2 linked regions of the Notamacropus eugenii genome follow. The protein of the gene in region 1 purifies or fractionates together with the protein of each later gene. This does not show direct contact. Links are inferred from orthologs where the notes say so. Each region holds a gene or a part of one and is shown in the gene's direction. Other genes may lie near its edges.

Region 1 (7,136 bases):
TTCCTAACTGGAATTCCTGGTTTCTGTCTTTCTCTTATTCAATTCACCCTCCACATTTATTTCCAAAATAATGTTCCTAAAACACAGATCTGACTGTATCACTTTCCTACTCAAGATTCTTCAATAGTTATTTATTGCCTTAGATTAAAATGTAAACTCCTCAGCTTAGCATTTAATGCCATTCATTTGACTTCAGACTATATTTCCTCATATAATTTCTACTTATGTACTGTACTATGTAGCAAAACTGGCCTACTAGCTGCTCCTCATACATAACATTCCAATTCCATCTCCATGTCTTTGTACACAATATCCCCTCACAGTCTGGAATGTAGTCTCACCTCCACTTCCATCTAGTGGTACCTAGACCATTTAGTCTAAGTTCCTGAAGCCTAAGGATGCTAAGTGACTTGCCAAGTATCAAAAGTGAAATCTGAACCCAGATGGTCTTTCCACTGTGTATGCTGCTGCCTTGTTTCTCTGGTAACCAGTGATCCATGACTGAGCTTTTAGACCACAACCCCAGCACCTACCATGATGATATACACAGAACAGTTGTTTTGCTGAATCAATTAATTATCTTTGTCTAGATTCATTTGATCAAGAAATAATGGCCCAAATGTAAAATACTGTTTGTACAGCTTTAAAGTTTATCCACTTTAATTCACACAACTCATTATATGGACTGAATGTAAGTTTCCAATTGAATATAAGCTCCTTGATAGGAAAGCCATAATTAGAGATTCTTGAACTGGAGTAAATTAAGCTAAAGTATGAACACTCCTGTGTATCGCTGAAGTAAGCCGGAGACAGATCATGGGAGCTGAATCAGAAGAACTGGGAAGTCATGTGAGGCTAGGCTGGGATGAAGAGGTCTATAAGCCAGGCACTGAACTTATTAGGGAGAAGAAAGAATGTCTTGGAGTTCCAGAGATTTCAGTCATAAGGATAACACAATGAGCCTTAAAGGAAAAAGAGTTGGCTGTTGAGTGACAGTGGCAGAGAGAATACTAGGGAGCAAGAAATATGCCAATTCTTCCTCCTGGTCTTGTATGTTTGGGGTTGTGACATATAAGTAGCCAGATTTGGAAAAAAAGTCAGAAAATCCAGCATCTTACAGAGAGAGCTAGGTTTTGGTGCACAGCACAACATAGAAGCAACATGAGAAGATATCTAGGGAAAACTGAAGGTGATGGCTGTGTGAGTGAAGGAGTCAGATGTGAGATATGTTGTAAAGGCAGAAAAGGCAAGTTTGGCAAGTGACTGGATATTTGTGGGGTCAAGGCAAGTAAGGGGAAAGTATAATGCCAAGATTATGAAGCTGAGAAACCACAAGGATGGAACCTTTAACCTAAATAAGGAAGACTGGAAGAAAGAAATCTTTATGAGGAAGGATATCGAGTTCAGTTTTAGACCTATCAAGATTAACATGCTTCTGGGGCATCTAGTCTGGACCAGTCCAGTGTGCGTGTGCTCACAGGTATCTGCCGTATCATCTCCCCCAAGACTAGCAGTCCTACTCCCTTGCCTTCTCCTGGGTCCACCTGCTTTTCTCAGCCACCAACAGGAGGATCCCTAGCAGCAGGAGAAAGGGAAGACAGATCCCTCCTCTTCTGTAACCAATCTCTGCTCCTTTAATGTTTTCCTATGTCCCTTTCTCAGAAGTAACAGGTCTAGCAAGAACTGAGGAAGGAAAAAGTAGTGTTTCCCTAGATGTCAGTAGCTGAGGCAATACCTTGGCTTTTCTATTGCAGATTATTAAAGATGATTTTCTCCCTCTGTGTTTTCTTAGGACATAGCATACATAGTACATAAGATGTTTCATAAATAAATGTTGTTGATAATTCTTCAATGTGTGATGACTTCAATTTGAGGAGTGGGGCAAATGCTGGATTCTTCATAGCTCCAAACAGGTATGCCTTTTAAGTTACCGGAAAAAAATTAATACTGCCCAATTTGACAAAATGATCTGTTAGAATTCATCTCTTACCCAGATACAAGTCCCAAGATACTGAGATAATAATTATGTACATTGCTTCATCTAGTGAGGACCTTTTCCAGTTACACTGGAAGTGGAGAACTGAGAAGTGCATTTACTAAATGGACTCAGCATTTACTAAACACACTGCCTAGAGTATTACTCTTTAGAAAGATTCATTTCAGTACCATCTATTACAGACATTAGCCAAAATTTCCTTTTAAAATTATTCATAATTTATTAGAAGTATCTATTCTACCAGAGTGGAAAGTACAAGAATAAACTCCTTATAACAGTTTATAACAATGAGATCGGGGGTCTTTATAAGGGGATACCAAACTCCGCATGTCCAAATTAAAACTCATTTTTCTCTCCTTCCTTCTAAACATATGGGATAGTCTAAATGCACCCCTACCTCTTCTTTCTTCCAATTGGGATTATCTTCATTTATTCACACATTCATTCATTCATTCCTCTTAGCACATTACCTAGCACAGGAGAGCTTTTTCTTACGTTCATTCGTTCATTGACTTATTCATCTCCCCTTCAGTTATTACTAAGGAGCTACTTCTGGCACTGTCCTGCCATCACTTTTCCTAGGCAATGCGGACAAAGACTGGAGCATGCGGCCCAAGAAATGAAGAGGAAACATCTCAGGGTCACAGGATCCAGAACAGAGGGTGTGCTAATTAGTCTGGAGAGAAGAGAGGCAGGAAGGTGGGGTCTAAAGGGCACCGATTTGGAGGCAGAGAAGTTGCGTCTGAAAATTAATGACTTTGAGTCTGAAGTGACTTTCTCGCCAGGCCTCAGTTTCCCCATCTGTAAAATGGTCCCTTCCAGTTCTAAGTCTAGGGCCAAGGGTGAGGACTAGAGAGTGGGGTTGCTCGCAAGGCTGAGAGGGCTGGAGACAGGGGTTTGGGTCGGAGATCCTGGGCAGGGCTGCCAGGGCCTGGAGCCCGGGAGGGGAATCGTCCTCGGGGAAGGCGGGCCCGCCGGGCCGGAGTCCTGGATCCCTCCCCCTCCTCACCAGGATCAGCACCGTGGGCACCAACACCAAGAAGAGCACCGCCGGCTGCTCCACGAAGGGCACCATCCTCCATCCCCAGGGCCCGCAGCTTCGCTGGATCTGGCCCTATCCCGCACCTACACCTAAGCGGAAGCGCCGACAGTTCGGCCGCTACGGCCCGCAGCCGCGCCCCGCCTCCAGCGTCGGGAGAGACGCCTGGCCTAGACCCGCTTCCCGACCCGCTCCCACAGCGCCGCCTGTCGGCAATGTGCCTCGCTTTGACAGGCTGGCTCCCACCGCGCATGGGCAGTCCGAGCCTCTTGCCCCGCCCACCATCAGCGTTTCCGGTCCTAGATGGTCTTAGCTCAGAGCTCCTCCTGGGCTTGGATTTGTTGGCTCTTTTTTAAGATACTAAGTTCCTGGAGGGAAAAGGGATCGTCCCATTTTTCGGTCAGACCTGGCTCCAGGAGCCTAAAGCCAGTCCCGGCCGTACTTCGTCTCACTCCCCGGGGCGATATCTCCGAGAGATGGATATTTTGGTCCATCTCCCAAGGAATTGAGTATATTAAGTGGTGCTTTTATACAGTGTATAATGGATTACCTGTAAAAACAAGAAAACCAAAACCGTGCCGGTGCTCGCAGTCACCCCGTGGGCGGCAGGTGCCCCCTCGGTGCTGGCAGGCCACTCTCTCCCGTGCTCGCGCGCGACACACGTCTGGGTGAAGAAAGCTTCCCCGTCTTCCTCGAAAGAAGGGGAGGAACTTGGGGGGCAGCCGCGCAGGGTGACGTGGCCAGACGGACGGCTGCAGCGGGCCCCCCATCTGTCGTCTGCAAACTTTAGGAAACACGTGTTCAAAACTTGCCCGCGGTGCCCGCGCTGGGCGTCCGGGCAAAGCACGGCCCGGAGCGCACCGCTCCCCACGAACCCCGAAGGGGCAGCGCCGGGAGATGCCCCGTAACCGGACGTCCCCGAGCCGTGTTCTTCACTTCCCCAAATGGAGATTCGCTAAAATTCGAAATCAAAGGAAAACACGAGAGATGCTACCGCTTCGCTCAGGGTCAGGCCACCAAGCCAGGAGCTGGTCGTGGTCGCCTCCCGAACCGTCTCCGTCCCAGCGCAGGCAGAGCGGCCGGGTTTCGTGTCGAATGTGCGGAGGCGGAGCGGGCGCCGGCGGCGGAGGAGGGCGGGCTCCCGCCGCCGGGAAACACGTGGGACGCGTAGAACATGGCGGCTGGATTCAAGTGAGTCTCCCCGGGGGACTCCGCCGGGAGGGGTGCGGGGAGCGAGGGAAAGACGCCGGGGGCGTCTGCGGCCTCAGAAGGAGAGCCGAGCCCCGCGGCCTGCCCGAGCGGGCCGGGCTGGGCCTTCTGCGCCCTGGGATCCCCGGCCCGTGGGCCCCGCTTCCACTCCCCCGAGTGGCACGTCGGGGAGCCGGTCGGGTTTCAGGGCCCTCGGCTGCGCAGGGTAACCTCTGCGCCTCTGACCTGAGGGGAGGCGGGCCAGTCTCCCAGTGCCCGGGCCGGGGCGGGCTGCGCGGGGGGCAGGAAGCTCCAGGCGGGTCCAGACCGCGCTTTCTTTCCGGAGCCTCCGTGCTCGTTGCCGTCGGATCCCCGATGGGCCGGCCGCGTGGTCTGCGCACAGAGGCTGACCCGAGCCGCGTCTTTGCCACAGTTAAAAAGCCCAGCCCTAAATAAAACTAGACGTTTAAAGAAGCCAAGCTGGCGCCGGGAGGACCCCGTGCGAGCCAAGAGCATTTTGTGACGCTAAGGACGTAGCGTGAATCCATGTGAGGGATCCACAGATTTAGACACCTTTTGTTACAACGTCAGAAAGAGAATTTGAAACACAGTGTTGGCTTTAGTGTGCTTGTGAATCTTTAAAAATAAATTGTATTTTCAATCATTTCAGAACAGTCGAACCACTGGAGTATTATAGGAGATTTTTGGTAAGTAAAAGCAACGGGGTACATCTAGAACTTTGGAAGTGGAGGAGGCCGGTCATCTAGTTCAGTCCCCCCGTTTTTCAGATGAGGAAACTGAGGCCTAGGTCAAGTGCCTGGCCAAGGTCATCCGGGCTTAACGGTAGAGCACCTTGTTACGTCACTGTAAAGTTCACATGAGATTTCAGGGAGGCCTTTGCGGGGTTCACACGACATGATGGAGAAGCATGAATGAGGGAATGATATGCCTGCGGTATGATTAAGGAAAGTATATGGGAATCGTGTTTGTTTATTTAGAAAGAGAACTGCCGTCCAGATGGAAGGGAGCTGGGGGAGTTCAGGACCACTACTGTCAATATAGGTAAGAATATTCAGCGTCCTGAAAAGAAACGTAAGTGCTCCAACACCAAACCAACTTTCTATGTAGCGCTTGTTCTGTACTGCTGATAAATTCTTCTGGTGGTTTTTTTTTTTGGAAATGCTTTTTTTTTTAACCAAAAGATTTTGTTCCTGTATGCGTGTCATAAATTGTTGACACAGGCTTAAGTATATGAGTCATTTATGAAAAGCTAGATGGAGTAATGGAATAAATTGGAATCATGGTTCTCTTATGAATAATAAACCAAATCTTATTTTAACAAATGTAGCTACAATAAAAATTTCTATATGGAATATTAGTAAGTCCCAGTTTGTTTCCAGCAATATGCAGCAATCAAATCTAATAAAGCAAAGGATTCAAAACATTTTGTAATGAAATTTACTTTAGGATAATCACTTGATTGTGTTAATCTGTGTAAGTATATCATTTATCTGTAATAAACTTGGCACTTCTTTGTTCAGAAACGTTTGGTGGCTCCCTGTTGCCTCTGGTATAAATGCAGACTCTTCATCATGGCACTTAAAGCCCTTTAGTCTTGACTCTCTTTACTGTTCCAGTCTTCTTTCATATTATTGACCTTTACACAATTTCATAGTCCAGCCAAACTGGCCTACTAGTTGTTCCTCAATCTCTACATTCTATCTCTGTGTTTTTTGTGTGTTGCTTCTCCTGCTAGGAATGCATTCCTTCCTTATCTCAGCTCTTCTCAGGTGCTGCCTTCTGTACATCCTTTCTGATACTCCTTCTACTCAAATTTCCTCTTATTGTACTTATCAGTATACTAGTTGTACCCCCTCAAAGAATACAGGTCTCTCAAGGACAGGAATTGTTTGGGTTTTGTCTTTATATTCCAGCACCTGGCACAGTATAAATGTTTGTTGAATTGGACTTGACTTTAGATAGAATTAGATTTTGTCCGCTGACTGATGAGGCAAACTAGAAGCAAAATTTCACTGACTTGACCAGAACCTCCAAATACACGTAAAGCCATGATGAGTTTTTAATCAAATGGACAAAACTGTTAAACCTGGTAATAATTACTGGTAAGATGACTTTTGAAATTTTTTTTCTAATAAGTTTTTTAATCTGTTAAATATCAGGTTCAATTACTACTGCAGATGGTTCTGCTTTAGTGAAGTTGGGAAATACAACAGTAATTTGTGGAGTTAAAGCGGTAGGTCTCTTTTTCATTTAATCATCTAAAAAAGTTACCAGATTAGTTTCACTGATCATTTTTTTTTAACCAGACCTTTGATTTCACCAGTGTAGGGAGCTCCTGGTGAGGATACTCTCTCTACTAATACAGATGGAGTCTTGGAGACTTACCTGGGACACTGACAGGTTACGTAGTGGCCAGCATGACATAGAGGATGTGTCAGATGCTGGACTTAAACCTAGGTTTTCCTTACTACCAGGGAAGCTCATTATCCTTTTGCCATGAGGCTTCTCATTTCTCTTATTTAGATGATAATGAATGTCTCTAACACTGCAGTAGACTGGAAAATCCAGTAGCATTTTTATCAGGCTCTTATTTTTATTTCCAAAGAGCAATTTAAGGATTAATAATGGTTGTAACACAGGCCAGAGAAACAAAAGTTCAGTAATGACACACGAATTGTGATATGATTATTCTTTGGATGCATCAAAATTGGAATTCATTTTTAATTTTTCAGATTTTAAAAATTATTTGAGAAACTAAGATTCCTAGGATAAGCCTGTTGGTAACATGAAATCATAAAAAATATTTTATTTTCAGGCATTTACTTTGTATGGAACATAATGGAAAACCTAAGCTAGTCAAAATAAAATAGTTTACATAGTAGTGTGTTAATA
Region 2 (7,457 bases), on another chromosome or scaffold:
ACAGCTATATTCAGTTATAAAAAACTAAAATGAGTTAAGAAATTCTGTGCAGTATAATCATCAAATTAAATTTAACTATGCATAGTGACCATGTCATAAGACTGACAAATGAAAACTTAATTCTGTCAAATAACACCAGAACAGAAAATGTAAGTAAAAAATAGAGATGCTCATATTTTAAATAATTTTCAGTGGCTAATCACACAACTGCATTTTCCCTGCATGGTAACATGTTTCAAGAGCATAAGACCCCACCCCTCTCACCATTTTCCTTAAATTCAATGAATGAAGTTTAGTTCTCATTAATTTTGAAGCAGCAATTCTTCTGAGCTTCTTGTCAAAAGTCCCAGTCAAAATATGAAAGGTTTCTGAAAAAAAAAAAACAAAAAACAACTGAAAGCATTTTGATAGGAATAACCTACAAGCCTGAATGCCTTCTCCACATGAGGCAGTAGGAGAGTTAGCAATATAACCTTAAAAAAAATGAAATAGCATCCCTTAGTGGTGTAGAAAGAAATTACGTTATAGAAAGAAAAAAGTAAACCGCACAATAAAAATCCTGCTGAGATACACAATTTACACACAGAAAATAATTCTTTTTCTCTTTTAACATACCCGCCCCCCCCCCAAAAAAAAACCCTCTTAAGCAGAACATTTTATGGTAATCACTGCAAAGTGGATTACGGGGATTCATAGTGCTTTCAGAAAGCAAAAAGGGAATTATTATATCTGTAACAAAAAGTGAAAATCAAGGATTAACATCTTTTAATGTATATGAAATTAAATTACCCTTAATACAACAGAGTCATCTTGGCAACCATTTCTCTTTAAGCGAATTTTCTACTGAGTTGGGACACAAATGAAAATAACCTTGTTTTCGGATAAATTTGGTTATTTTAGCTATTTACATGGCATTTAGTCACTGACTAGTTGGTGGTAATACCCAACAAATTCTGAAACACTAGCTAGAGTAACTGAGGCCCAAGAAAGTTAGAGCAGCCATATAGTGTGTGCTATAGAACCCTTACTTGAATTCTGTAGGTCTTAATTATCAGTACTTACAACATCCTGCTGCTGGACTTCTTACAAAGATAATATTTTCATGCCTCCCTTCTTTTGTGCCTCTATACCCTTGGCTACCTGTTCAAAATATCTTTGGCTTGGGCATATCATCAACTTTGAAAAATTTTCGAGAAAATTCCACAAGCTTCTTCAATAACCCATTCAAGCATTGGTACCACCTGAGAAAAGTGTTTTTCCAAATGTGCATCAGTGATATTTGGCCCAGCAGGTTCCCAAACAGGGGTTCTTAACATAGGATTTATGTGAATTGAAAAGAAAATCTTATAACTGTATTTCAATAGTTTCCTTTATAGTTCTCTATTTTATTTTATGTGTTTAAAACCATTATTCTGAGAAGGGGTGAATATGTTTATTTGACTACCAAAGGGATCCATGAAACACTCAAAAAAATAATAAGAATCTCCATTCTAAAAGAAGCTGCCATACTTGGAAGCCTAACTCTTTTCCTCCCACAGATTCCTTTCTTAGAATCAAGATAGAAGAGTGGAATTGCCAAGGGCTGAGCTAAATGAGGATACCCAGAGATCCAGTCAAAATGGTTTAGCAGTCTTCAGCTATGCAAAGGGTTACTGAGGGCTGGAACGTTCTACCATCTACTATTAATTGATTTACAATCAAGAATACAAGAAATATATAATACAAGGATACAAGAAATTGTGAGTTAAAGATTGTCAATTCTGGTATCCCATGAAGATGGCAAATTTAATGTAAATAAACCTAAGTCCCTCAGGAGCAATAAGTTCTATGCCTACCCTTTGAAAAACTGCACATCTGGTCACCACTCATGGTATCACCCTTCATCAGTAGAAATTCAGAAGTTGTTGTTTGCTGATGGCTGCACTCTTGAAACACATGCAAGTAAGCATGCAAATGATTAACAACTCTTTGCAGAATAAGCACACTGATGCTAAGCCTGAAGAAGAAGCAAGTCATGCACCAGGAGAACCCATTCCTAGTCAATTATTTTCATCAGCAATATGGAGTGAAAAGCTGTCACTGAATTTGCTATCCTGGCATCACGCTGTCCAACGATACACTAACTGACAATGAAGTCAAAAACTGAAAATTGAATCAAGATGACCAGCCAGTATGTCTTTTGTAGGGGCAGACAGATCATGTATTGACATGGCGCCATGCTACGGATCAGACTAAAAATGTGCAGAGTGGCAAACATGTCCAACCTCTACAGGACTATAGAACTTAGATCTATCACAGAATTCAAAATTGGTTTCTTGAGTAGATTAATAATATGTAAACTATATTTAACATACAACAAGACTGGAACTTGTGCTAAAATGCTGCTTGAGAGTGAACTGAAGTGAAGGTGATTATAAGCTGGGACAACAAAAGACACCTTGTGGTTCAGCTTTAAGCAGACATAAAGGCATGAAATGCTGACTATACAGACAGACCAGTCTGAAACTAAGGGAGCAGAGACAACAGGGTAGTTTATTTTAAGAAAAGCATTGGGCAATCTTTGAGAAAAAAAAAGAAAGGGCAATATTTTCCATTTTAGATTGTAAATTCTTAGAAAGCAGGGATTTTCCTTTAACATACTCTGCATAGTGCTTATTGGTGCAATGAATGCACAGATGCTTAAGAAGTACTTAAAATTAATGAAGTCGTTTCTCTTTACCTAAAATCATGAACAAAGTATTTTGTACTATGTTCTATCACCAAAAAAAGATGATGAAACATAAAGAAGCATAAAACTACATATAATACTACAAATTATTTTGTTAGGTTTTGTCTTGTCTTTTTATTCATTTTTGCCTCTCCTCGTATGCCTAGTGTTTAATAAAATGCCTATTGACTTGACTTAGTGATTTCAGGTACAAGGAAACTCCAATGATTTTGTTAATCAATCAACAAGAAATTATTACACACCTACAAAAGTACTATACTAAGTGCTGTGGATACAAACACAAATAAATAAATAATCCCTGTATATCAGAGAAACAAAATGTGTGTGCATATATGTTGTATATATATAGTGTGCATATATATATTATATATGTATGTGTACCTTTTTACTTACAGAATAAGTATGAACAGAATTCAAAATAAATACAAAGTTGCATTTATTTTGGAGGCCACTAGAAATTAGAGGAATTATAATAATAGCTAGTATTCATATAGTTCTTTAAAGTTTGCTATATGGTGTATATTATCTCATTTGGTCTTCACAGCCATCCAAAGACTGTCTTATCTGAAATTTCGATCAACTCCATGCCTGAAAGAATTCTACATATAGTAAGATTTTAATAAATGTTTGTTGAATCAATAAATGAATGGAATCCACTGATGATGAAATACTACCAAGCACATCATCTAAGCTCCAAACCCTTAAGGTCTTTTTAAAAATTAATGTAGTATCACCCTCACATGTAAACATCTTGCGCTAGGACAAAGTAGGTGCATAGGCACACATGCTACCTTACTATGCACCCTTTTTCACAAACAGGGCACCACTGAGCAGCCCTTCCGTTATTCCAAGCACAATGAGGGAAGGATCTTCCCCAGTTGCCTAGTGACAAAGCTCAGTTTAGATTCGTGGTGATGGGAGGTTTCAGGTAAGGTGTCCCTTAGAGTCCTACGGTGTATTCTTTGCAGATCCTAGCTACAAAGTTACAGACACGAGAAACTCCATCCCCTCTGTCTCCCAAGCCTGGAACGTTCTGAACTCCCACCCCTGGCTTCTTTCCAAGTCTCTGCTACAGTATCACCTTCTGCCAGAAGTCTTTCATGATCTCCGCAAGTGTGTGTATATAGATAGTCTATATATGTGTATGTATGGAGAAGGCAGGCTGTACATATATACACACATGTATATGTTTATACGGAGAACAGACTATACGGACACACACACACATACATCTGCGTGTACGTAGCTCTTCTAACCTGGTCCCCCCCATTAGAATGGGGGCTCCTTTAGGGAAGGGATTGTTTTTGTCTTTGCTTCTCCAGGGCTTAGCGCAGTGCCTGGTACACAGCTGGTGCTTAATACATGTTTGCTGCCTGACTTCAAGTGGAAAGGAAACAGCTGTGGTAATTAACAGCCACAGTAATTAACCTGCTTTCCCAAGAAGTGGGAGTCTTTCATGTATTTTCTCCTCCCCTCCTTTGTTTCCATAATCTCTTCTTCAGGCATGGGTAGAGTTTTCTCGCCCTGCCCTCCGAGCGCGCACACACACACCCTCTCTCTCACTGCAGGGAGGGTAAACTGAGGCACGGAGCTCCCTCGGGGTCGGCCAGTGACAGAGCTCTGACTCGGACCCCGACTCCGCACGGAGGGAGTTTCTCCGCGAGGCCCCGAGATCGAGGAGGGGGCGGCCGTTGGGCCCCGCAGCGGGGCGGCCCCGGCAGCTGCAGCAGCCCCAGAGGCAGCTCCGGCCTCGGGCCGGGGGGAGGCGCCCCGCCGCGCTCAGGGCCCGGCCTCCAGAGGACGGAAGGGGGCGGGCTCCACGCCGGGGCCTCGCCTCTTCCCGCTGCCGGGCCTTTGCCGCCGCCATGCTGCAGAAGCGGGAGAAGGTGCTGCACCTGAGGACGTTCCAGGGCCGCACTGTGCGCATCGTGAGGGAGCACTACCTGCGGCCCAGCGTGCCCTGCAACAGCCCGCTGTGCCCGCAGCCCGCCCGCTGCCGTAACGGTCAGAGCCGGGGAGGGAGCAGGAAGGGAGCTGGCGGGGGCGGGGGCGTAAACGCGGCCGAGGTTTCCGGCCCTCCCGCAGCTGTGGCGCCCCCTGCAGGGAGGGCCGAGGCGAGGCGTCCAGACGGGGTCTGCGCCTCCTCGTGGCGGCGGGGACGCGGGATGGCCCTGCGGCCTACGCCCGGCCAGGGCTAGGTGGTAAACACTGGGCGTGAGTCCCCGCCTCCCCCCCGGGGGCGGGGCTAGAGCCTGGGCCTGGGCGGGCCTGCGAACTGCGGCCTCCCCCGACTGCCTTCCGATGGGAACGTAGACCCCGGTTTGTGGGTAACGAGGCGTCCTCTGGAGGCGGGGTGGGGGGCGGCGGGAAGCAGGCATGGCCACACTGCGCCTGCGCGCCTGCGGTCGGCGCCCCTGCAGCGGGGGAGGTGGGGGGTTTCTGCTGCTTACCGCGCTCTAGAAAGTTTGCCCTGTATTTCAGCGTAAACGGGGTGGGGCTTTGGGGGTAACTTTTAAATATTTTTTATACGTATATATTATATGTAACGTATTATATCTAGAAACATCAGTCTGAGGCGCAAAAAGATTAGGACCCCCGCTCGTAGAGCTCATTCCCATCTTCTATCTCTCTCCCTTCCCCCTCCCGGCCGTCCTGCCCCCCACTTTCCCTCGGCCTTGTACTGGGGACTGGAGGTACACGTTGCTGCCTCATTAGAAGGTCGTCCTCCCCCCCTCCTCCCGTGTCTGGCCCGCAGTGAGGGCTTAATGAGAGCTTGTTGATTGATTGATCTCAAGTTGATTGATCTGCTTTGGGTTCCAGATTCGTGTTCTTAAAGATGATTCTTGTTTTGGAGCTTAGCACCCTGTAGTCTTATGAAAGGCGATGGCCTGTTGTCCGCCCCCTTAGGAACCGCCTGGCTCCAATGATGACTGGGCTGGAGACCATAGGAGAAGTGCCCTTGCTTTCTAAAGGCTCAGGGACCATTCCTGACTGGGGCAGGGTCTCCCAGAGCAGGCGAAAGGGTGGATTCTAATGGAAAAGTCCCATGGCCACCTGGATGCCCCCTTCCTCATGCTGTGCATGGATCCATACCTTTACCCACCATCATGGTGGCAGGAGACTTGCAGAAGCCATGGTAACCCTTGCTGTTAGTTCTTCCTGAAAAAACTTTGGCCTTTGGTGTGCTCTGCAGGGTCTTCTTTAAGACCACCCTCCAGTTCATACTGCTGAGTTTAATAATAGGTTTTAGAGTTGAAGGAACCTCCAGACTGAGGCCCAGAGGTGTTAAGTAACCAGCCCATATTATCATTCCTCTAGTGGAAGGTGGGTTGCGGAAGTCCTGTTTGGAATCCTTAACTTCAGGGCTTGGTGGAACATGAATGGTCAAAGTTGGGTAGACCCATGAGCTGGATGGAAATTGTATCATTCATTGCCATCCATAATAGTTTATTCAATTAACACCTGCGTTATAGATGACTAGCATTACTCTCTGAAACATAAGGAGAACTCCTGGCTTGAAATTATATTTAGAAATACATGATTCTCTGGAAATTGCCTTTTTCACTCAGTCTTCAGATATGAGTTGTTAGGCAGTAATGAGTTAACCCAGAATATCTAAGTAATCCTAAAAATGTGGTTTTTTTTTTCAGAAAATCCATCAACTTCCCCCAGTGCAGCTCTGGCACCATAATAAACCATGTTATGCTTTTATTTATCCCACCTTTAGAAAAATGAAGCTGCTAAGTTTACCTGGTCTTTGGCCCTCTACCAAAGTAGATCTGTCTTGTCTTTTAAAAACCATGCAAGGTAGTTAAGGTTGTAAGTTATTTTGTACGCTGGGACTCTGCGACATGGCAATGGTAATAAAGCAGCCTTGGAACTGTTGTCTCATCTCTTAAATTTTGCATTATGTTCCAGATGGGAAACTTTTGTCCAGTGATGTGACTCATTATGTTATCCCTGACTGGAAAGTTGTTCAAGATTACCTTGAGATTCTTGAGTTTCCTGAGCTGAAAGGTATTATTTTCATGCAAACAGCCTGTCAAGCTGTACAGCATCAAAGAGGACGAAGGTATATCTGTTTTGCATAATTTTTACTTCTGATTTGAACTTATTAAATAAGAAAGGTCCTGGAGGGGAAAGGGCAGGATAAGAAATCTATTATTTTGGAATAGGGAAAAGGAATTTTGGAACTAATTTGTTATTTACTTTTTTTTAATTTACTTGGAAATAATCTGTTATTTCTTCCTTTAATAAGGGATTATGGAAGGCATTTTTGAAGTTGTTCTATTTTATGGTTTTTGTTTTAGCACATGATCGAAGCATATTCGTTTGGCTCCGTAGCTCATATCCCAGTAGGTTGGTGTTTTAAGGTTACAACCAGCTCAACCTTCACATTATTTTGTTTTCTCTCTTGTGGAAGAAAGCTGATTGGTGATTTCTTTTTAGAGTCTTTAGCACGTTAATCTTGATATATACGTACATGTATACATAGAACTCTGTACATGTATGTGTATATACATATCCATTCTTTCAGAAACTTGCAGCAATTTATTGAAGGAAAACAAGTTCAGTATTTGCTGTAAAATCTATGCTTCTCCATTGCGAGTGCTTACAGATCATACCATCTAATAATTTACTGAAGGAGGCCTAAAATAAACTCATGTTTTGTTCTAGAGTCTCACCATAGCTGCCATCCACAATAATTGTATTTGCCAAACAAAGGCCT

What was found. The genes of interacting proteins can lie anywhere in the genome.
Region 2: the proteins of EXOSC8 (region 1) and DIS3L purify together in Homo sapiens (affinity purification with mass spectrometry; 4 studies listed by BioGRID and IntAct, counting the BioPlex papers as one, with this or other methods). This does not show direct contact. The link is inferred for Notamacropus eugenii from reciprocal best matches to the Homo sapiens genes EXOSC8 and DIS3L.

Annotation. Positions count from the first base shown.
Region 1 is NC_092876.1:98,499,214-98,506,349, forward strand, and holds the start of EXOSC8 (exosome complex component RRP43), read left to right. Parts: upstream 1-4,132; 5' UTR 4,133-4,209; coding exon 4,210-4,226; intron 4,227-4,893; coding exon 4,894-4,930; intron 4,931-5,221; coding exon 5,222-5,315; intron 5,316-6,403; coding exon 6,404-6,477; intron 6,478-7,136. Other genes in the region: ALG5 (dolichyl-phosphate beta-glucosyltransferase), read right to left, coding at 3,006-3,071. UniProt on the Homo sapiens protein: Non-catalytic component of the RNA exosome complex which has 3'->5' exoribonuclease activity and participates in a multitude of cellular RNA processing and degradation events.
Region 2 is NC_092872.1:128,844,834-128,852,290, forward strand, and holds the start of DIS3L (DIS3-like exonuclease 1), read left to right. Parts: upstream 1-4,438; 5' UTR 4,439-4,593; coding exon 4,594-4,732; intron 4,733-4,991; exon of another isoform or gene 4,992-5,055; intron 5,056-6,646; coding exon 6,647-6,800; intron 6,801-7,457. UniProt on the Homo sapiens protein: Catalytic component of the RNA exosome complex which has 3'->5' exoribonuclease activity and participates in a multitude of cellular RNA processing and degradation events.